Drosophila melanogaster: one gene and its partner. The protein of the gene in region 1 purifies or fractionates together with the protein of each later gene. This does not show direct contact. Each region holds a gene or a part of one and is shown on either strand. Other genes may lie near its edges. The genes, in order: ClC-c and CG1161.

The links.
Region 2: the proteins of ClC-c (region 1) and CG1161 purify together in Drosophila melanogaster (affinity purification with mass spectrometry, with the first as the bait; one large-scale study listed by BioGRID). This does not show direct contact.

Annotation. Positions count from the first base shown.
Region 1 is NT_037436.4:16,084,762-16,097,734, forward strand, and holds ClC-c (chloride channel-c), read left to right. Parts: upstream 1-5,692; 5' UTR 5,693-6,070; coding exon 6,071-6,157; intron 6,158-6,754; coding exon 6,755-7,097; intron 7,098-7,770; coding exon 7,771-7,937; intron 7,938-7,994; coding exon 7,995-8,198; intron 8,199-8,254; coding exon 8,255-8,887; intron 8,888-8,943; coding exon 8,944-9,161; intron 9,162-9,226; coding exon 9,227-9,787; intron 9,788-9,845; coding exon 9,846-10,009; intron 10,010-10,067; coding exon 10,068-10,281; intron 10,282-10,344; coding exon 10,345-10,435; 3' UTR 10,436-11,179; coding exon of another isoform or gene 11,180-11,240; 3' UTR 11,241-11,242; intron 11,243-11,295; 3' UTR 11,296-11,300; downstream 11,301-12,973. Other genes in the region: CG13075 (uncharacterized protein), read left to right, coding at 1-417; Tasp1 (taspase 1), read right to left, coding at 1,436-1,519, 1,590-2,575, 2,652-2,679; CG5235 (uncharacterized protein), read right to left, coding at 3,340-4,947, 5,003-5,491; CG13074 (uncharacterized protein), read right to left, coding at 11,180-11,240, 11,301-11,494, 11,555-11,831, 11,905-12,728.
Region 2 is NT_033777.3:5,350,579-5,359,827, forward strand, and holds CG1161 (uncharacterized protein), read left to right. Parts: upstream 1-4,513; 5' UTR 4,514-4,606; coding exon 4,607-4,675; intron 4,676-4,748; coding exon 4,749-4,972; intron 4,973-5,255; coding exon 5,256-5,364; intron 5,365-5,424; coding exon 5,425-5,550; coding exon of another isoform or gene 5,551-5,688; exon of another isoform or gene 5,689-5,846; coding exon 5,847-6,002; 3' UTR 6,003-6,170; downstream 6,171-9,249. Other genes in the region: CG11999 (uncharacterized protein), read right to left, coding at 3,266-3,855, 3,983-4,043; Prosbeta7 (proteasome beta7 subunit), read right to left, coding at 6,553-6,705, 6,777-7,278, 7,346-7,497; Cerk (ceramide kinase), read right to left, coding at 8,580-8,709, 8,770-8,972.

The DNA of each region.
Region 1 (12,973 bases):
AGAATAACCGATGACTCCACGTGCAACAGCTACCTGTACTGCCAGAAATCTGGAACCACCTGGGTTGCCCTCTATATGACTTGCGGCGCCTCCACGCCGTTCTTTGATTCAACCACCAGCTCATGTGTGACAACCAGGCCGACCAGCTGCTCGGATACAACGACTCAGTCGCCCTCTGATTCTTCATCGACTGCTTCTTCAACTGAGTCCTCCTCCGAGTCTTCATCAACGACTGCTTCATCCACAGCTTCCTCATCAACGGAATCTACACCAACGACTGCGTCCTCGTCGGCTTCTTCATCTACGGAATCCTCCACCGAGTCTTCTTCCACGACTGCTTCCACCACGCAGTCTTCTTCTACGGAATCATCCACACAGTCTACCTCAACAACTTCTACGACTACTCCTACTCCTTAAGCAAACGATTTTCCGCCAGTTTTCTAATTAAAGCAATAATATGGTTTTTACAAACCTTCTAAAATAATAAAGCGATATATATTTGTAAACAATCTTTGATAGGCATTTAATAGGTCCGAAATAATAAATACGATACATTTGAAATTCGTCATTGGTGTTAAATCGTTCTTGGGATATAACTGGCTTTAAACATGACTAACATGAAGATCATGATCTTAGGCAGTATTAATCATCATCTAATGGAACTCACTTTTTGCTGGTGCGCATGCAGTTTGAAAAAGCCTCGAGATGTCTAGCATTCTATATGCCATGAAATACCATAGGATTATTAGCTGGAACCCCATAAACGGAGAAATGAATACGTATGAATGTTTCGTTTAGAAAATCTCGCGTCATATGCGTATGTGTATGTACATATGTACAAATCGATTTACGCTAAAAAGTAAAAGCATTTTCACAATTTTCATGTTGAGGACAACTCGCGATAGTGGAGACCTTGATATTGTGTGTGCATGCTGTGGCTTCTGCTTAGCTAATATTAATGGGTTAAGTTCTGTACATTGATGGCCGTAAACACTTGGACATAAACACACAGATGCGCACACAAGGCAGCGCAAGTCTAAATATACAAACGGATACAAACATATGCCCCCTCGAATATGATATTCCGAACAGACTCGCATGCCGCCGGCTGATTTATCTAGCGCACCCGGTTCGACGAGGGATACAATATATTCGAAATCCTATTTCATTGCTACTACTAGTACTGCAAACATTACGATCTACGAGATTTTTACAATAAAAATATTTGCTTAATTATCTTAATATTTCGCCGAGAGAATGAAGCATATACACATAATGCTGTCCCAGCTCCTCAGGCGCCTTCTGCTCCCATATGTCATTGGCAGCGATTGTCGCGGCAATTAAACATTAAATCAAATGAATTGCAGATGCAGAGCAGCGGGACTAGGAGCTGCAGGAAGGTGCTGGGGGCTGCGGCTAGTTGGCCAGCCCACATTTAAATGCGCAAATGGAAATTATGGCCATTGACGACGCACGATCGGCCCGGGACGCTGTACGTGGGCAGCGGCGAATGCACAAACTGCAAATATAAACACATACGCCGAATTAGTTATATGTGAAATCAGAAAATGATGGATGGGTGTACGAACCTTTGGCACCCTCTGGTTGGTTGCCATGTAGCCGACACAGAACGACTGCGTCGTGTGGCTCCACATCACCTCGCCGCTGCTCTGGCCCGGATAATAGAGTAGCGTCAGAGCTCCAGCGTACAGATCCTGCTGTCGGGGCAGCAGCGGGGAGTCCAGGAACTTTTGCTTGAACGTCTTGTGAAGACTGGTCACCGCACAATCACTGCTAAATGCCCCATGGCAGATCTCTCGGGCCAGCAGCGTTTTCATCAGGTACTCGCCGTTTCCGGTTGTGCAGGTGGCTATGGCCAGTTCGTCCGTATCGGTGGCCCAACAGCCGGCACCATAAGTAGCCGCCTGCCCCACTCTGCCCGGAACTTTGAGCAGTATGCCACCGGAGCTACATCCAGCTGCTGTGTTCCCTGCCCCATCAACACATACCGCTCCCACTGTGTCCAAAGCAGCGGCAAGTTCCACCTCGTTTCCTGGTTCCGGCACTTGTACGGATTCCTCGGACGTTGCCTTGCCCAATCTGCTGTTGACCACGAGGTCGTACTTGCTTTTGTAGTGATTAAACTGGAACTTGGCCTTAGATGAGATCAGTACGCCGGGCTCCACCATGGAGCAACCCACCTCGTCGGCATAGTGTTCCGCTCCAGTGCCGGCGAGGATCATCGGTGGAATGCGCTCCAGAAGCTGCGGACTGGACTGGGCATCGCAGATGCGTCTCGCCAACTGTATGGGGTTCTTCACCCGACTAACGTTCGTGCAGGCGCCAAAGTTAAGCGTTGAGCCATCCATTATAGCCGCATCGCACTGCACAGAGCCGTCCATGCAGAGATTGGAGCCATAGCCGGCGTTTGTGTAGCCGCAGTTCTCCAGCCGCACAATGGCCGCCTCGCAGGCATCGACGGCGGATCCGCCGTTGCGAAGGATCTCCGTGGCGCGCAGGCAGGCCTCCTTAATCACCCGCTGGTACTTCGTCTCGTCGATGCAGTTCCCAGCCCCTGAGAGCAAGTGGCGGTCATCAATCATCTGGCTGTCTGCCCGGCGGATCGGAACCGCCATGGCCAAGATACGTACCCGTGTGCACCGCGACGAAGCCGGCCATGTTGGTATTGCTGTTTATGCTCGCGCCTTGTTGTTGGCCCAACTGCAATCCGTGCGCTGTACGGCGTAAACAAATTGATCAGAGTGACCGTGCGGGCCGAGTTGAAATATACCACGGGGAATGTTCGCTGACAGCAGGTCACTTTACAAATATACCAAAACTACACTCAAAAAAATTTAAATATTTATAAAAATTAACTTTATTTGAAAACTGCATACATTTTTAATATAGGCTAATATTAGTATCCCTGAAAAGATGCATACATTCTGTAAATCTTCAAAAATATGAAAACCTTAACATAAATATAAGTTAATCCTTATTTTATTGTCGGTAATTTAACTTATTTAAGAGAAAATTATTTGATTGGTTTGCAAGTCGGAGGTGTATTTTTTACTTTCTACATTTAGTGCAAAATTTTTAAATCCAATTTAAAAGTTCTTAAATTAAAATTAAATTAAAAAGTTCTTAAAAGCACCTTAAATCTCTATAAAATGTATATTACTTTATGTTAGTACCTAGTTTATATCGATTTGATATATTTTCATGTTTCATATTACGAGAATAATTTTGAATATTTGATAATCGTTCATTTGGTAAGCTAGCATTTTCACTGAAAACGTTTTGGATGGCTTAAATAATACTTTCAAACGCACTTTTATTTTACAATAATGTCGTTTGCAACCCGAGCTGAATGAGTAATAAAAGACTTAACGTAAAGTCTGTAAAAAATTGTGAACTTCCCGAACGAAGTTCTTCATTATCAGTGAACAAATAATTCAAACAAGCTGCCGGTGGCTTCACGTACGCTGTAAACTCGGGATAGCGAATTATTTCCGAAGGAATTGATAATGAATCCTTGGATACGCGACAAAACGTCATATGTGTTCCGGTTATAAATGCTTGTTCAACACGTTTCGTAAAGAGAGGATCATGCCAAGGCAACTGATTTAAATGCGATAGAAATGTGCGATCGTGAAATTCGGCTGGGTCGGATATAACAAGCTTGTTTAACAAAGACTCCTGGTAGATGACGTCTTCTTTGGACGTTTTTCCGGAATTTGGTTTGTTTGTCGCATTCTTCGCCTGTTTACTGTAGTCGGTGTAGTCACTGTTGTAGAGAAACATGTTCTCGACATCGGTCATATTTAAGGAATAGAATTGGTACACACGGAACATCTCGAAAAACTCACGCACTGGTGTCATACTATAACATCCGGACATCTCAATCTTTGGGTAATAAGTAATAAAGGTGAGACACATTTCCTCCTTCGTGGAATAGCCCCCGAATGTGGGTCGTTTTCTGTACTTTGTCTCATAGGAACAGTCTGTAATTAGGTAATCCCCTGGCAATACGACCGTTTCATTGGCAAGCTGATGGACTTTTTGGTGCCTGTAATCGTAGTTTTCGTCAACAATGATCGGATTCAACTCCTTACCAGATCGAACATGTCGAAGACTAATTGTGCGACCAGCTTGATGTGAGTGCAACGTTCCGGATATTATTTTAATACCATCCTTTGGGAACATGACGCTTGAACAAGACGGCCCACAAATGCCGACGGATCGATACTTCTTTTGACCAGGCGGAATGAGTTGCGTTTCCGAAATGGAAACACCACTTATTAGAATTCCGGAATCGTAGGTTCGCAGATTGGGTGTGTAGTGTATTCGAAAACCGGAGTGATCCACCGATTCCTTTCCATCGGGATTATCGTAGTGTATTTCCAGCATATAATAGCTAACTCCAGATGCTCCGCCCATTGGGATCCCTGCGTGGGGAGGTAGAAACTGTCCATCAGATCCCAAGGACCAAACTGCAACTGGCGTAGAGCACGAATCCCAGTCGCGTGGCGTCAGTAGGTTGCTGTTGCACACTGTGCCGGCACTCCTAACCCAAAGGTCCCAGGACGAAGGATCGGATCCAGAGTATATCTTGGACTGACACTCAAACAGGGTCATGTGGTGAACAACATTCCTCTCGTATTTACCAGACAGCAGCGGCTCATAACCAATTATATGCTGTTTGCCAGTTAACTCTGGTAGTCGCACTATTTTACACCAGTATAGTGTATCCATTGACCGATCAATTGTTACGTTGTTCACAGTTATGTCCCATTTTTGGATGCCTTCGATCGAGTGACTATTTTTCGTAAACATTGGCGAAAACAATTGCAAAGCTTTCACGCCTCTGCTCTGACCTTGCCAATCCAAGTTTCCATGAATAGGATCATTTTCCCCAATGGACCACAGTACCTTAAACGTATCAGCCTGCAATGTAAATTTATATTATTTTCATATTTAATTGATTGCGAAGAAAACTTACGGAGAGTGGAATATCGAATGGGTCACAGGTCTCAATTTTGCGTTTAAACTTCAGGATTGTGTGCGTCCCATTTTGTTTGCCATCTAGGACATCGTAGTTTTGAGTATCGTCCTGCAGCGGCGGTCCGCTTGAAGGATGCAGCGCCCCATGGCAGTCCAAGACGTTCGGATGTCCTGTGGCGTCATCCACCCACATCAAAACCATATCCGCTCTGGCCAGCCGGCCATCCTTGGAGAAACCCAGGCCGGCAAAGCCTCGTGTGTGAACAGTTACTTCAAAGTAAATGCTATTTTCGTTGGCGTTTATCCACCATTTGAGCCAGTACAAGCCCAAGCTGTCCATCATTTCGTTACGCACCCAGTTTTTGTGGTGTACAGAACCATTTTTATCGACATCATAGTCCTGCGTCCTTTGATTGTTTTCAAAATACGCAAGACCAAAACTCAACTGCACCGTGAGTACGATCCATAGTACGTCTTGAACGGACATGGCGTTAGCCTTGTACTTTAGCGTATGTGAACAATATGATTCTCTTTTAGGCGAAATTGAAACTTGTTTGGTGTTGAGTTTGCAAGTAATTCGCGCGTCTGCATTTTTTTCATTGAACAAAGTGATCGCGTCGGGATATCGTACCTATCGCGAATGATATCGACTACTTTTGCAATCGATTCTTGTTCGATACACTACGTTCTGTATTTCATTAGCTCGCCCGGTCTGGTCACACTGACGGTTCGCAAATAAATTATTCGCACACAAAAGTAAGCACTTCACAAAAGTAATGTGTACTATATAATCGATCAAATACTTGTTCGACCGTCATCCCAATGCATATGAGATCGAGTTCACATCCGCGATTCGAGTGAAATGGAAAGAAAGTGATTGCATTGCCGATTCGCCCCACGAACAGTTGTTTGTGCGTGTGTGTGTTTGTACTTAGTGACGTGCGCTCGCTGCGCTGCAACTGCGCTGCTGCTGCGCCGCTTTGCTGGACTGCAACGCAAAAAGGGAATCCAAAATATTGGATAGCTATCCAAAGAAATTGTCCACGTAGGATCGCCTGATCGCAGGATGGAGAAGTTTCCGCTGAAGGGCAGCAGGGAGGCCGCCGCGGAGGGCAACAGCTACATAACCGCCTACCAAACGGTCATGAAAAAGGTAGCCCACCATAAAACCCACTGGGATTTCCCCCCTTTCACAGAACAACAGAACAAATGTCTGTTTAAAAACTTGAAGTGTGGCTTAATTTTAGATAAATATGATGGAAAAATACTTAATATTGCAGTTATGCATTGTCTGTTTTGGATAAATATCTTGTCACAGTTCTTCTTTACTTCTTTACTTTCCTCTAAAAAGTGATATTATCTATCTATAACTATTTGAAATCCTTACTTCACTGGATTTGCCATATTCGGTTTCCAAAAAATGACACTAAGCCCAGCACAGAAGTCTCCTTTATCCAAATTCTAAGCAAATGCTTGCCAACTTTCGGTTGGCATTTAATTTGAATAGGCTGCTGAAGCTTCCCGGATAAGGGCGAATCCCCTGATAACACAAAAAAATCTGGCACAAGGGGGCGGAAATGCTTTCAATTGTAATTCAACGTACAGATGTATGTATTATTTGAACGGTGTCGCTGTGTCTGAGATCTTAATCTTATCAATGCGTATGCATAAACAAAGCGGTAGAGGCTAGCTAGCTCTCCAAATTCACAAACCTTATCTTATAGCTTTTTTGCTTATTTCGTTTTTTCAGTCGAACGGCCACACAAACGGAGCCGGCGGCGACGGCGACCTAGACGGAACTTTTCGTGACCATCCGCTGGCGCAGCACACCAAACTGACCACCTCGCTGACGGCGGCGGGCACCGACGACGAGGATATGATTGACATCACACCCCGCTCCAGTCCAGGCGATGTGATCGGCGGCGGCGGAGGAGGAGGAAGCAGCAGTGGCTATCACCGGGAAACGGCCACCGAATCGGACACCGAACGAGATTTCGGACACTCTGGCGGCAACGGCGGCGGCAATCACCACAATCAGCGGACAATGCACCAGCATGTGCCAACTCACAGTGCCTTCGGCGATCCTATGGACGGTGAGTTCGGAGAGATCCATTGCGTAAAACATCCAATGTTGCTGTCTGTGGTGTTAATCAAGATCACGAACATTTGAGTAAGGCGACGTCACCTCGCCGCATTGCCGGTTCCGAATATTCGGCTCACAGCTGTACTCATTCGCTGGCAATTCAATTAATATGTACAATCATTAGCATACAGACATGTATTGTGGAGACACCAGTTAACTTCATGATATATGTACATACGTATATTAATACAATCACCATTTACACACGTGATGCTAATTTAGCAATATAATCACTGAGTTGTCTAAACAACCAGCTGGCATTTCTATTGGGAATTATTTATTTAAACGAAAAAGAATCAATTATAGTTGTTGGGTAAATACTATCGTATATCTGATGATAATAGCAATCAATGTTTACAATACGCTAGAACGAGTAATATCTGTAAGAACTTTATTCGAGGAATCTGTTTAAGAAAACGTAAACGTTCTTCGTCTCGATACCTGAATGAAACACGAGAAAAATACTATAAATTTTTGCGGTTATAAGGCTCTGGTTCTCTTTGGACTTTGACACCAAACCATTAGAATTAGCGTAATCACGTGTAATGCTACTACGACAACATGATTCGGAGCTTACTGTGTCAAATCCGTAATGTTTATTGTATTATTTATTATTGCTATAGGAGCACTATCCTTCTATGGTTCCTCGGACGTGCAAGATGATATTCCTGGCATTGGGCAGTACGAAGATTTTCACACCATTGATTGGCAGCGGGACATTGCCCGTGATCGGATGCGACATCGCTACATAGTCAAGAAGCGACAGGACTCCTTGTGGGATCTGATAAAGGTATAAGATCGTTTATGATTCAAAACACACCATACTTATCAATCATTTTACTTAAAGGGTTCCATTGATGCCGGATCTGGCTGGCTATGTGTTTTACTCGTCGGAATTGCCGCAGGCTGTGTGGCGGGCATGGTGGACATTGGAGCTAGTTGGATGTCGGATCTAAAGCATGGCATTTGTCCACCCGCCTTTTGGTTTAACAGGGAACAATGCTGCTATCCGGCCAAACAGTCAGTATTTGAAGAAGGCAACTGCTCGACGGTGAGTGAAACTACATTTTCTTCCTGATAAGGCACTAAAACCGCATTTATTTTCAGTGGAAAACCTGGCCAGAGATCTTTGGTTTGGATCGAAATGGCACCGGACCATATATCGTCGCTTACATCTGGTATGTGCTGTGGGCTTTGCTTTTTGCTTCGCTCAGCGCCTCCCTTGTGCGAATGTTTGCGCCCTACGCCTGCGGATCTGGTATTCCCGAGATAAAGACCATCTTGTCTGGCTTCATTATACGCGGCTATCTAGGAAAGTGGACGCTGCTGATCAAATCGGTGGGTCTGATGCTGTCTGTATCCGCTGGCCTCACTTTGGGCAAGGAAGGACCCATGGTCCACATTGCCAGTTGTATTGGAAACATATTCTCACATGTTTTCCCAAAATATGGTCGAAATGAGGCCAAGAAGCGTGAGATTCTTTCGGCAGCAGCAGCGGCAGGCGTCTCGGTGGCCTTCGGAGCACCAATCGGTGGAGTTCTCTTTTCGCTGGAGGAAGTGTCATACTATTTTCCATTGAAGACATTGTGGCGTTCATTCTTTTGTGCATTGATTGCCGCATTCGTTTTACGATCACTGACGCCGTTTGGCAACGAGCATTCCGTGCTCTTTTTCGTGGAGTATAACAAGCCCTGGATCTTTTTCGAACTTATTCCTTTTGTTTTCCTCGGAATTATGGGGGTAAATCTGAACTAATTTTGAAGCTCTACAATTTATTAACATAATATTTATTGTAGGGTGTTATTGGCACATTCTTCATCAAGGCCAATTTGTGGTGGTGCCGCTACAGGAAGTTCAGCAAGCTCGGACAGTATCCAGTAATGGAAGTGCTCTTCGTTACCCTGGTCACTGCCATCATTTGCTACCCCAATCCATTTACCCGAATGAACATGAACGAGCTAATATTCCTATTGGTTAGCAAGTGCTCACCCGGAGATGTCACCAATCCGTTATGGTACGTTTTTTCAATAATAATTATTTTTTATTTTTTTTTTATAATAACTACATATTTCCTTATAGTGATTACAAGCGCATGAACATCACGTCGGGCAACAGTTTCATTGAAGTTACGGAGCCAGGTCCTGGTGTGTACAGCTCCATTTGGCTGCTTATGCTCACCTTTATACTTAAACTGGCCCTGACCATCTTCACGTTTGGCATGAAAGTGCCCGCTGGTCTGTTTATTCCGTCCCTGCTCCTTGGCGCCATCATGGGTCGCATTGTTGGAATCGGTGTGGAGCAGTTTGCCTACAGCTATCCCAATATTTGGTTCTTTACCGGTGAGTGTGCGGACAGCAATCTTATCACACCCGGACTGTATGCGGTTGTGGGAGCAGCAGCTGTGCTGGGAGGTGTCACTCGAATGACCGTCTCCCTGGTAGTGATAATGTTCGAGCTAACAGGCGGAGTGCGGTATATTGTGCCCCTGATGGCTGCCGCCATGGCCTCCAAGTGGGTGGGTGATGCTCTGGGCAGGCAAGGTATCTACGATGCGCACATTGCGCTGAATGGTTATCCGTTCCTAGACAGCAAAGAAGAGTTTGCGCATACAACACTGGCCGCAGATGTGATGCAACCAAAGTATGTATAAAGAAAACCTTTTTTTCCTCAAGATCATCTAACAAAAACTTCATTTTAGGCGGAATGAAACTTTGAATGTCATTACCCAAGACTCCATGACGGTGGACGATGTTGAGAACCTTCTTAAAGAAACGGAACACAATGGCTATCCGGTGGTGGTGTCGCGGGAGAATCAATATTTAGTGGGCTTTGTATTGCGCAGGGATCTTAACTTGGCCATAGGTCAGTCACAACTTGTTTCGAGATCATGTTGCATAATTAAATATTACAAATTTTATAGGCAATGCCAAGCGTCTAATCGAGGGCATTAGCAGCAGCTCCATAGTATTATTCACATCATCCCAGCCTATTCAAAATCTGGGACCCCAGCCGCTGAAGCTGAAAAAGATCCTGGATATGGCACCGATCACAGTTACAGATCAAACGCCAATGGAGACGGTAGTGGACATGTTCCGAAAGCTGGGACTGCGCCAAACATTGGTAACACACAACGGGTGAGTTTGTGGCCAGAAGCAGTTTAACCAGTTTCAAGTTATCTAATCCAAATTCCATTGCAGTCGCCTACTGGGCGTAATTACAAAGAAAGATGTGCTGCGCCATGTGAAGCAGATGGATAACGAAGATCCCAATACGGTGCTCTTCAACTGAATTTATCAGCCAATCAGAAGTTGGGCGAGCGCTGCTTCTAGTTATTATTATGTGAACTATGTGCAAAATGCAGATTGCAATCTAAGCTTAAGTGAAAAGTTGAACGAGTGGATGCAAAGTGGACTGAAATGGATTAGAGTGGAATCGCGTGATTAGGACAGATAGGATCGGACGTTCGGACGTGAGAGATTTAGCAAAATTGTGTGCAGTTCTATTATATATTTATATATCGCATATATCTCGTTAATGTTAATTGTATAATTTATTTTACTGTAGGCAAATGGTTATAAAAGTTTAGTGTATTCATTTATTGCCATTTTGTAATTATGTCATTCTAGCACTTTTCTACACACAGCATATTTCTTTTTATATGTTCACATACAGCTTGATAACACTATGAAATGATCTATAGTTGTAAAAGGAACATTTTATTTTGTGAATCGTATGTGAAAACGCGGTTTTAACGAGATTCCCACAGAGAATGCAGTCTTATTTTACGCCAAATTTTCGAAATGGCTTTACGTTTTTGCATTTTGTTCAAAATTCTACACAGATAAAATGTCTTGTTTATACAATACATAGTCTATATTTACATGTGGTATTTGTTAGAGATCTGAGAAATTTTAAAATAAAATTGTGTATATACCAAACCTAAGAGAAGATAAAACCGTACATATTAACATAAGCAGTCATGCAAATACAAGCGATTATTTCAAAACTGAGAACAAAATTCAATACGACTATTTAGTGTTCTACGTAGAATATCTGGAACTCGTCGCCATAGAGGCCTGCAATTAACCAGCGTCTGTAAGATAATTATTATTCAAATTTGTTGTTTTATTGATTTCCTTCGTTATTAGCTCACCCATTGTCGCTACTACGGATAAGGCTTCCCTTGCCGCGAAGTCCTCCCTTGACATGGGCATGGGCTCCATCGCTCACCCTATAGTATTCCAGTGACCCATCATTGGCTGGGCAAAAGATGATGTTGCCATCCCGACTACAGGCGATTACGTTTTTAAAGGGAAGTGGAATTTGTACTATCAACTGAGCCATGTCCTGTTCATTATTTAAGAGAAAATAAATAGTGTTCAGCTCGTTTGTTTGTCATGTTATCACCTCATCCACAAGCCGCATATCGTGATAAAAGGCCTGTCCACTGAGATCGCAGCTCAGGACGAACAGGTTGCCCTCCATTTCGGTACGGAGGAGGGTGGAAACCATGAATCGATGTCGCCGTAGGGCCAACAATTTGATCTGCTTGATGGCTGCGGTTTGCCGGCCGGTGTTCCAGCAGCGATAGACGCCACCATCGTTAGTGCCCACGACGAAGTCATCCAGACCAAGGGTCACCATTGCCGTAGGCTCTGAGCTAACCGTTGCGGGCAGGGTGTATCTGGAGAAGTTAATTAAATAATATTTAAGATTAATGCCGGGAAATGTTTCGTTTAGTGTTTAGAGAGACTCACTCCCAATCCAGAGCCATCTGCCTGCTTAAATCCCACTGGCGAACGCTGCCATTGGCAAAGCAGGCCAACAGAAGATGTTCCCGCGGCCAGTCCAGAGCCACTGCAGCTCCCTGGGTGGAGGATACACTGTATAGCTGTTTGATATCGACGCTGGAATCGGAACCCCTCGCCTGCTCATATAACCAGATGAAGAGCTCTCCGTCCATGGTCGAACCAGCGAACATGGTCTTGTTGAACGGATTTGTGCACAGACTTCGCAAACAGGATTTTAGGGGTAGAGTTTTGGCCTCTGTATAAATCACCAAGTTGCCAACGGACATTCTTTGGGGAACAAAGAGTTTTAGCTGCTGATCCACATGCTCGCACCAGTCATCATGGGGAGCTACAGTGGTGGCCACCAGAACTGGGGCGTTATTCGTATGCACACACAGCCAGATAGCCAGTCCTTGCGAGTTTTCTGCACCACCCATTATCAGTTTCTGGTACGTGTACACCTGCAGTTTCTCCTCCAAGCGGCACTGGCTCATCGTTAGATCCTCCATCAGAGGCGTGGGATTCATTAGCTCCCGTTCGACCATGGGGCAGATCTGTCGCAACCACTTCGCCAAAGCCCTCTCATCGTATTCCACATCCTTACTACTAACTACTCGTTGCTCTGTTTGTGTGGCCACATGCAGCTTCTCCTGCGTTCCTGTGGCGGCATCTTGGCTGGGAGGAGGTGGATCGGTGCCCGTACAGTTGTCCACCAGGGCATGCTGCTTCTCCAAAGGCTGCGTGGCCGGAAATTCAACTATGGGTGAGCTGTAATGCGATAGTACGTCCATTTTCCATCAGCTTGAAAACCTTACTGTTTTGGCTTCAGAGCTTTGTGGCTATCGGTATCCTTGGAAACCAACTGACTCAACCCTAAAATAGAGCTAAAGGAAAACATATCTGAGGATCGATTATGAATCCAAGCTTAATCTAATGCAGCCTGAAAATAAATTAAAATATAAGAAATCATATTATATTAATTAATTAATTAAGAAAACTTTAGGATTTATATTGCAAACTTTTAAGAAGTTTTAGA
Region 2 (9,249 bases), on another chromosome or scaffold:
ATTCACAATTTAAGGCTCTCTGGCTCGCCTCTTTCCGTGAACTTGCGAAGTGCGCGGGCGCAGAGAGACGGCTTATGTTCTTCTTTTTAGCGGATGGCAGGCCTTTCTGGCCACTTGGGGGCTTGTTTTCGGTTTTCAATGTTAAGTGCGTAGGAGGCGACACGAGTGAGAGTGAGCGAGAGGGAGGTAGGGGCGGACCAGGAGCAACGGGGCGAATGCGCAACGCCAGCGATAACGGCCACTGGAGACGACAACAGAGAGACAGACAGGCGAAAAGGGGGCGAGGGATGGAGAGGAGGCTTAAAGGGCGTGTGGCAAAGCTGAGCGGACACACCTGGCTATTTTCACGTCGACAATTCTGGCTTTTTGCCAATGGCAGGAAATGCTAATTATTCACAATAGAATTAGCGAATTAAGCAGAAAGCAGAGAGGATCCTAAGTCTACTTAACATACACATATATACTAGCCATTTAATTCGTCGGCCAAAAGGGCTTGACTTTGATATCTTTTCGTCATGATCGCTGTAAAATTTGTATCGATCAATCAACTAATATCCTATAGTTGCAATCAGAGCAAATTGTTGTATGCTTGCTGAAGACGATCTATGAGTTTAAACATTTAAGAACTAATAAAAGGGGATAACAATTGATATTGTTTTGATTCATATTTTCTATAATATACTTATATTACTATATGTATTTATAATTTTGTAGAAAAGAAAAAAGTTTTGTATCAATTAACATAGAACGTTTGTACGTTTGTTTATACTATTATCATATATTAGTCAGTGACTAAGTGTCTTGAAAGCTTCTAGTTAAACCTACTCTATTTTCGAAAATTAAAACATGTGGATAGCTTTCTAATCGTACTCCAAGTAACTTTGAGATATTTCGCCACGACGTAGGTCAGGGTGCGCCGGTTAGTATGCAGGGCGTTTTGCTTACGCTTTCCAGCCACTCGTGCGTATACACAACGTACTTTTCGTTTGGAATTGTGCGGCAGAGGGGCAGGCGTCACACTCGCAAACAAACAAACATCGCAACATTCAAACATTTTGTGTCAATCTGTCAGTCACTCAAGCAACGAGTCCTTTCCCACTTTTAAGCGCTTTAAACTTTGCCCGCTGTCGATTAAGACAAATCGATAAGGGAAAACGTTTCCCTTTTATATGTATAATATATATTATCGTAGGATTGCTAAAACACTTGGGCATTTATGCGTGCAGAGAAAGAGATTTGAGTTTTATTTTCAGTATTAAATGCCGAATAGTTTCGCAATTGGATTAGGAAATACTTGATTAGTTGGCTTATGAGCTTATTTCGCTATATCTATCCCGATCTATACAGTTTTCTACACTAAGTCTAATGAAAATTTTTAATAGTGTAGCTTCGCTCCAAAATATTCTCTTTATTATTGGTCACATAGGAAGCACAATACAAGGATACGATGAATACAAGGATGGGCCACCGCTTAACAATGGAATCCGGTTGTCGGGGAGGGAAAGTCCTGCGAGCAGGAACACATCCTTATACATATGTATGTATGGGTGTGCGTATGAGTGAGTTTGGCGTTAACACGTTAAGGGTAAATCAATAAACGCGCAGAACGGAAGTTATCAACACCTGTAAGGGATAATTGACGTGATATTAAATGGTATGTTGCCACAGCAGGTGGCAGCATTGCCGATTTCATTAAACACATAAGCCCACTATATTGCATTAAATTATGCGATAATTGATCAATTTTAAAGGATTATATATAATGTTAAGACGTTCATTTCTGTAGCAATATAAGCAAAATGAAGAAGACTTTTATACTAAGCCGTGGAAAAACATTTGGTTCACTATACAAAGTTTAACATGCTCAGATGGTAATCGACAACTAAAGTGTTTTATACTCTCCGATACTATGTTCTGGTAATATGACATCGTGGACAGCTATGTGCTATCCATATTCCATATACTATTTATGACAATTTATTGAAAGTCTATAATAATTGCTGTACAGAATTTCCAATCAGGAATAGTTGACACAAGATTCAAAGCTTGATACTTCCAGTATTTGCATCGTAAAGCATGAAATTACGGAGTTGAGGGTTATCTTCAGATGGTGGATCTTGCTAAGATTTCCTGCTGGGGACAACATCGCTCATCAGACTAGTAGAACGAGTATCCTTGTTTCCATTTCTTATTTGTGCAAAATGGTTACAAGGACAACCCGATTATGAGAATCTATAAACGACTGTGCGCTGGGTTAGATCAGCTAACACTTTGACCTTACTGGGTCCACAATCAGTTGGGATTACGGGGATGCGAAGGAGGCGGAGGCAGCGGAGGATGAGGACATGGCCCGGAGGATGAGCAGACAAAGCGTTGACAATGGCCCAAACAAAAGAAACACAAAACAGACGAGCAGATAATGGACGTGACGATATCGGGGCAGCAAGGGAGCGGAAACCGCGAGCAATGGCAAAATGTATATACATAGCTTGTATGGTCGGAATAAGCCCCATTGTTTTATGCATGCAAACAAAAACATCCGAAGGAATGGGGAGCACCTTTCGCGAAATGCGAGTGACGCCCTACGGCTGCATCTGCAAGGATACTTCCCGCTTTAGCTTCAAGCTAAAGGGCTGTCAATCCGGCATGGGATACCTTCTGTTGGAGTTCAAAGATATCGACATTTTCCGCCAAATGCAATCAGTCTTAATCATCAATGAGTAGTAGAAAAGTGACACGAACACGCTATTAGCACCTGGTAACCTACGCATGTCTTTCAGCACTACATGGAATAGATACATCTGTATTAACTGCAGTAATGCCAACAGAAAGAGTACTATTGCCTCAAAATACCCGTTTAAAATATAAAAGGTTACATAAAAATAAAAAAGCATTTGTGTGCCTGCAACTGACTAAGTAGACAATCAATCAAAGTTCTAGAAAAATTTAGAAAAGTTAGATTGCAACTGAGGTTTCACTACCTTAAAAAGGGCTCTATAGACGCCCCCATTTGTTGCAATGCATTTAAGCTAAGTGGTTCTTACGACTGCCTTTATGCAAGGCACTTTCTAGATAGAATACATAATACATACATAGAATACATAACTTTCGATGAAAGCAATCTGAAAGTTTCGAAGTACCCTGAGTTTAAATAATTTTAATTTGATGGTTTGCTTTTGGGGTCTTCAATAAAAATTCAACTAAGTTATAAATTACAGAACTAATAGTAGTATGAAACTGCAGCAGTCGAGGTCCTTAGGGAGCACTACAGCTCCGAGTGGGCGTACTCGTCGTGCGTTGAGCTCTTCTCCTTGGGCACGATAAAGAGGCCCTCCGCCGTGGTCCAGCGCGTTCCGTGCTGCGGCTTGTGGACGCCAACGATTTCCATTTGGCCGGAGATGGGTCTGCCATAGGAGCGGCCGGACATGCCCAGGTACATGCCGGTGTCGATGTGGCGCAGCCTAACGTGGGCACTGCGCATCCAGTTCTCGTTGGAGCAGACCACCTCCCAGTGGTCGCCGGTGTCGCCGAGTCCATCCGTTCCGTACGCGGACACCTCCTGCTCGCCTGAGAGCGGCGACGAAAAGTGGTGCGAGTGCAGGTTCTTCTTGGTGGACAGGTGCTCCAGTCGCACGGTGGATCCGCAGGCGATGGGCTCGCCCCTTTCACAAAGCTCGCCGGTCTGCGCCTTGATCACCCAGTGGCTGTTCACGTCCTCCTTCTGCTCCACGCCCGTCACCGACTGCTGCCCGGAACCAGATCCGTACTTGACGTCGTGGGAGTGCAGGCGGAAGGCGTAGTCCGAGTTGAGCAGCTTCAGGATGGAGCCGCAGGTGACCACGTTGGATTCGGTGGCTGTGTTCAGCAGGGTCAAGATAGAATATAAGATAAGCATTAACTATGGCCACGGAAGGTTCAGAAAGAGGGGCGGCCAATCAGAGAAGACCACATAGACGCGACTTTGTTTCAGGTCGCCACTTACCGGCTCCCCTGGAAATGCTGCCTACCAGCGCCAGTCCTGTAAGAAGTAGTATGTGCTGCATCGTGTCCTGTTCTAGTTATCGTATCCTAGTCCGTGGACCTAAGTCAGTCAATCTGTACCGGCAATTACGGTTGAAATCAGCGTTGCACACGCAAACAATTGCTATTTTTGACGGTGCTGGTGTGACCAGGCTGCGGTAAAATCCAAATTATGGACTCACCGAAAAAAATAAACATAATACTATAACAAACTCCATATTGCTGTAACTTATTCCATTAACGGAAAATAGCTTAATGTATATAATAAATGTTGAATAAAGGAAAAATATAATTAGTCTTTTCAGAGAGCAGATTACGAATTTGACGTCACAGATTTATTGATACGCCTAGAAACTTATTTCTTGATTGTTTTAGAATTAAATGAACGTTATATCGTGAAGGAAATAATTAGTTATTAATAATTAGCCTAAAAACTAATTGCACCAAAAGGAACTAGTTCGATGAGCGACAATTTGTTGGTATTTTCTGTGCACCAGACAAGTACGGTCACTCTGCGAAATTGCAAGGGAATTTTCTCCAATAAAAGGCAAGAAAACTGAGGAAAATTGAAATTAAAGAAAAATTAATGGCACACAAGCGCCTGTTCGTCTACGCGGTGCTACTGGTGATATGTTATTTGGTTGGCGTGACATGGGTATGATGACTGGCCACATCCCGTGACTGCCCCACTAATCCGCTTTCATTTCCCCCTCAAACAATCAACAAAGGCTGAGACTGCGGCGCAGACATTCCCAGCGATCGGCACCAACAGCAACAACAACAGCAATGCTCAACCTGCTCCTGTGCCTGCACCTGCAGCTCCAGCGGCTGCAGCTCCACTAGCCAAGCAAGTTTCAGCTCCCACTGCCGCCCCTCCGGCCAAGGTCATCGGCCAGCCTGTGCTCGCTGCTCCAGGCAAAAATTCTTCCAATTCCAGCAGCACAACTGAGTGGTAAGTGGCACTGCACTGGCAGAAATTGCCGCATCTGGAAACTTAAAGTCTAGTCCATTTGAGCAGTTTTAAAGCTGCAATCCCTTTCGTCCCACTGGATTCTACTACTTTAAATTCAATTTACGTTGTTTGCGTAGGCTTCAAAGAATCATAGTTCATGTATTGCACAAATGTATTCACTTTTCAGCTACTAAATGTATAAGGCATCTTGGTATCAATGAGCTTAATTTGTGATTCTGTTAGGTTGGAGTTCTTAACAACCTGCTACACGTTACCATTTCAGCGTCTGTGCCGGTGCCCTGCTGCCCCGTTTGGATGCCAATGGCAAGGAGCTGCCCATATGCGCCGAGTGCAAGTGCTCCCATGTGGCGAGAAATACGACGCTGATAAAGGTGAGTCAATTCGAGTGCTCAAAAGCCGTCCGTACTTAACCAGCTCTCTCCCCCATCCAGGTCGTGGTCATTATTGTGATTTGGATCATCTCCATTTTAGTAATATACATGCTCTTCCTGATGTGCCTGGACCCGTTGCTGAACAAGCGAGTGAAGGCGAACTACCAGGAGCACACCAACGAAGATGTACATAACAAGCTTTCTAGATACAAGGGCATTCAGTATAGCCTCCTAGTTACAGCCCAAGGCGAAGATGATGAAGATGACGATGTTGATGCCGAAGCGGCTCAACTAGTTGGCAATAAAGAAGCACCACTCTTTTGAATAGATTTTAATTTCCACAACCACCTTTGTTTCATTTTGCGTTATAGATTTTGTTGACTTTCTAACCCACACCGTCACTTCATTAAGACAGTAACTAACACGGCCAGATCTTGGATCACCTCGACTAATTCCACATTTTTCCACCCTTTTCTAACCAGGATGAACCAACGCCGCCCCTGCCAGCCGTCAACAACCAGGAGCTCAGTGCCAGAGCCAATGTCCTCAATCGTGTGGGCCACCAGCAGGACAAGTGGAAGCGGCAGGTGCGCGAGCAGAGACGCCACATCTACGACAGGCATACCATGCTAAACTAACAAGGGGTTCGGTTTGCAGCTGGCGGAGATTAGGAGGCGCATGGGCGACTTAAGACACGTATTCCAAGCAGTTATCCTTTGCGAAATTCCCCTTTGGATCAAATTGATTATCTGTATATTTAGCCAGATTTTATGTTAATTAAAATAAACCAAAATATGTTTGTCAGGAGTGTTTGCATATTAATTAATAAGTTGAATGCCGGGAGGAATAACCAACAAATCCACTAAAATAAAACTTTTAATGATAATTGATGGTTATAATTTGGGAAAATAAGGAACGTAAGACCGTAATGGTGAGTCCAAGTTAGATTTGGAAACTCCCTTGGGCTTCTTAGTTTGACGCCTACTTTTTGATTCCATCAGTAGAGATTAACGAAAGAATAACTCGAAGATAGTTTCTATCACACAATAACCATAACTTTAAACGTATTATTTTCAGCCACATTTATTTTTAATAAATCATGTAACCACATATCCTTAGACAAGTGTTTTTTTTTAATGCAAAACCGCCGAGCTAGACCTAAACTAAGTTCATTCAGAATCGGAGGCTCTAGTATCCCTTTATGGTTTCGGCGAATGTCCAGTTTTCGTTAACTTGGAAGGGCCCCTCCACGCCGCATCCGTTGACGCTGCACACGCCCACAGTGTATTGGGAAATATTACGAGTATCGCGGTAGTAAAGCACCTCCATGCATGTGCGGATCTAGAATATAAGAAAATGGTAGGGTAGTTAAATAATGAAGAGTCCCCCCATCAGAGTTCGAAATTCCTTACCAGTTCGGAAGCTTCTACGGCGGTAAAGTCCCTGTCCTTGGGCTTCTTCTCACGGACCAGCGGAACGGCCAAATGGCGGGCAAAACCAGTGGCCACCACGTAGTCCTCGTAGGATCGTCCACGGAGATCCACGTTGGCCAGGTACGGAGTCCCCTCGTTGTCCACGCCGCCGACAACCACGTCAATGTAGAGGGGGTTCATCCGCGAACGACGGTTGTAGAGCACACGGGTCATCCAACTGGCCAAGGACTTGGGCTTCATCTCGATGTTGTCGTCGCAGCACTGGTCCTCGATCATCTTCTGGTCGATGTTGCGCTTGATGGACTGGATGTCAGCGAAGTCGCCGCTCCCGCCGAGCAGGATGTTCTTGTTGACCTTAAAGACGCGCTCAATGTTTTGGTAGCGGGCCATGGATCCGTAAGACACCAGGGTGTCGGCGGCCAGCATCACTCCTGAATCATAGCGAATGCCAAGCACGGAAGTGCCCGTGGTGCTGGAAGCACTGCGGAATAGTAAAAGGAGTGTAAACAAGTGGTACATCTGCATATAAACATATCCGCAGTTCCTACGTGCTGTGCTTGGTTCCATAGGGTCCCATTGTGGTCAGCTCCCGCGGTAGCTGCTGGACCGGCGTCTGTCCGCCCGTGAAGTTGTAGAACTCGCCGGGAGCGGGTCCGTTCTGCCACATGGGCTGCGCTAGGCTGTTGTAGTTGTTCAACATGCTAATTTATTCGGAGACTGGAATAACGCGAGACTTTGAAATGTTTGTCGCTGCCGGAGAATGACGGGCACAAATAAAATCAAGAGTCAGCGCAGTGTGAACAGACTTTAGGCGGGCGGCAATACCAGTATCGGCAACCGGTAGCTAAAAATACCAGACATACCAAAGATGAATCCACTATTAGCTTGGTCACACCGTTTTACATGTGTTAAATTAAATTAATTTGAAGTTTAATTGTGAACTTTTTAACATTTTATTAGATGTTGATGTTAAAAGTAATGTAAAACAGTTAACACCACGCTGCCTATACTGAATTTGTTTTTTTACTTTTGTCTTTATAATCCTCGTTGATAATACAAATCAAGGAGAAGAAAGATAAGAAATTAAAGAACTTTTCACTCAATTAGGATTAAGACTCATGTATACCCGTTGCTTCTACGGTATTTACTACTCCTTGAAACTAAATATATGTTTAGTTAATATATAATGACCATTTGCTTTACTTCATTTTAAGCCGTTCAATGGTCATTAAAGTATAAGAATCGAGAGCAATAAATGTAAATGACGTTTGGAAATTATCCTGGTCAATCTACAAATCCAATATCTCCCTTCTCTCCCTTCGAACACGATTCTCCATAGCTTTTTAAGCGGAATAAGGTTCTTTTGCTAAAACTTCTGCTTTTATTCATATTGGTGGGAAAAACGCACATGTTCCGGATTGTTGTTTTTGGGAACCCAACGAAGTTTTTTATCATAACATTTGATCATATAAATTAATAATAAAGAATTATAAATTTGAAGACATATAAATACATTTTTATTGCCAGTATACCAGTACACAATTTGTAAATATATAGGTATGTGCATAATGCTTCCGAGGGGAATGTTTAGGTTGCTGCCGCATCTTTCAGATGCCATAATACAGTCGATAATATCAGTTGCTTTATTGAGCTATGCTAAAAACAATGACGGGGAGACCCGCTCTTTAACACGATACATATACGAATAAGGATACCCTACGCAAAACTAAGAGCTACATGTCACGGCCAACGATTGATGCTAATTCTATGGGGTTAAAGCTTCTAGTCCTTGCAGCAGCAGTAAACATTGTCGCTAGAGCTAGCTGGGGTTGTGGGCGTGGTGCCGCCCTTGAGGGGCTTGCTGTAGGAATGGGGACCCCGCATGAAGACCTCGATGAGCTGACAATGCGATCTGCCAGATACGGAACGGTTAATAAGCGATTTATTGAAGTTAAAGGTACAACCAACTCACCGCATGGTTATGTCCAGGTCGGTCACCACCTCTCCATCACAGTTCCAGCTGGAAAACTCCGTCGAGGAGGAGTGGGCGGTCATTTCTTCAGGCGGTGTAATCGGCTGACAAGACCCTGCCAAGCTGTAGTCCTCCTCGCTGGCAGAAAAAGTTCTGAACCGGAATTCCCTTGTGCGATATACCTCTACAAAAGGCAAATTGCGCTGCAATGGGAAAATGTTTTTAAATATTTATTGTTTTCTACAAAATTTAATTGTATCCTTTTATTTTTCATTTATATTTTTACAGTAAAAGATACCATCGCATTCACTAGATAAAACATTATATTGTTGAAACTGGTCAAGTATATACTTTATATGGATGCCACCAGAGCGGCTAGTAGATCTTCGTAAAATAACCTTTCTGTCACAGATTTCCCTCGCTTCAATCCGAGCTAGATGGGGTTCGGTTTTGGGTTTTTGGCTTTTAGGATAGAAAGCA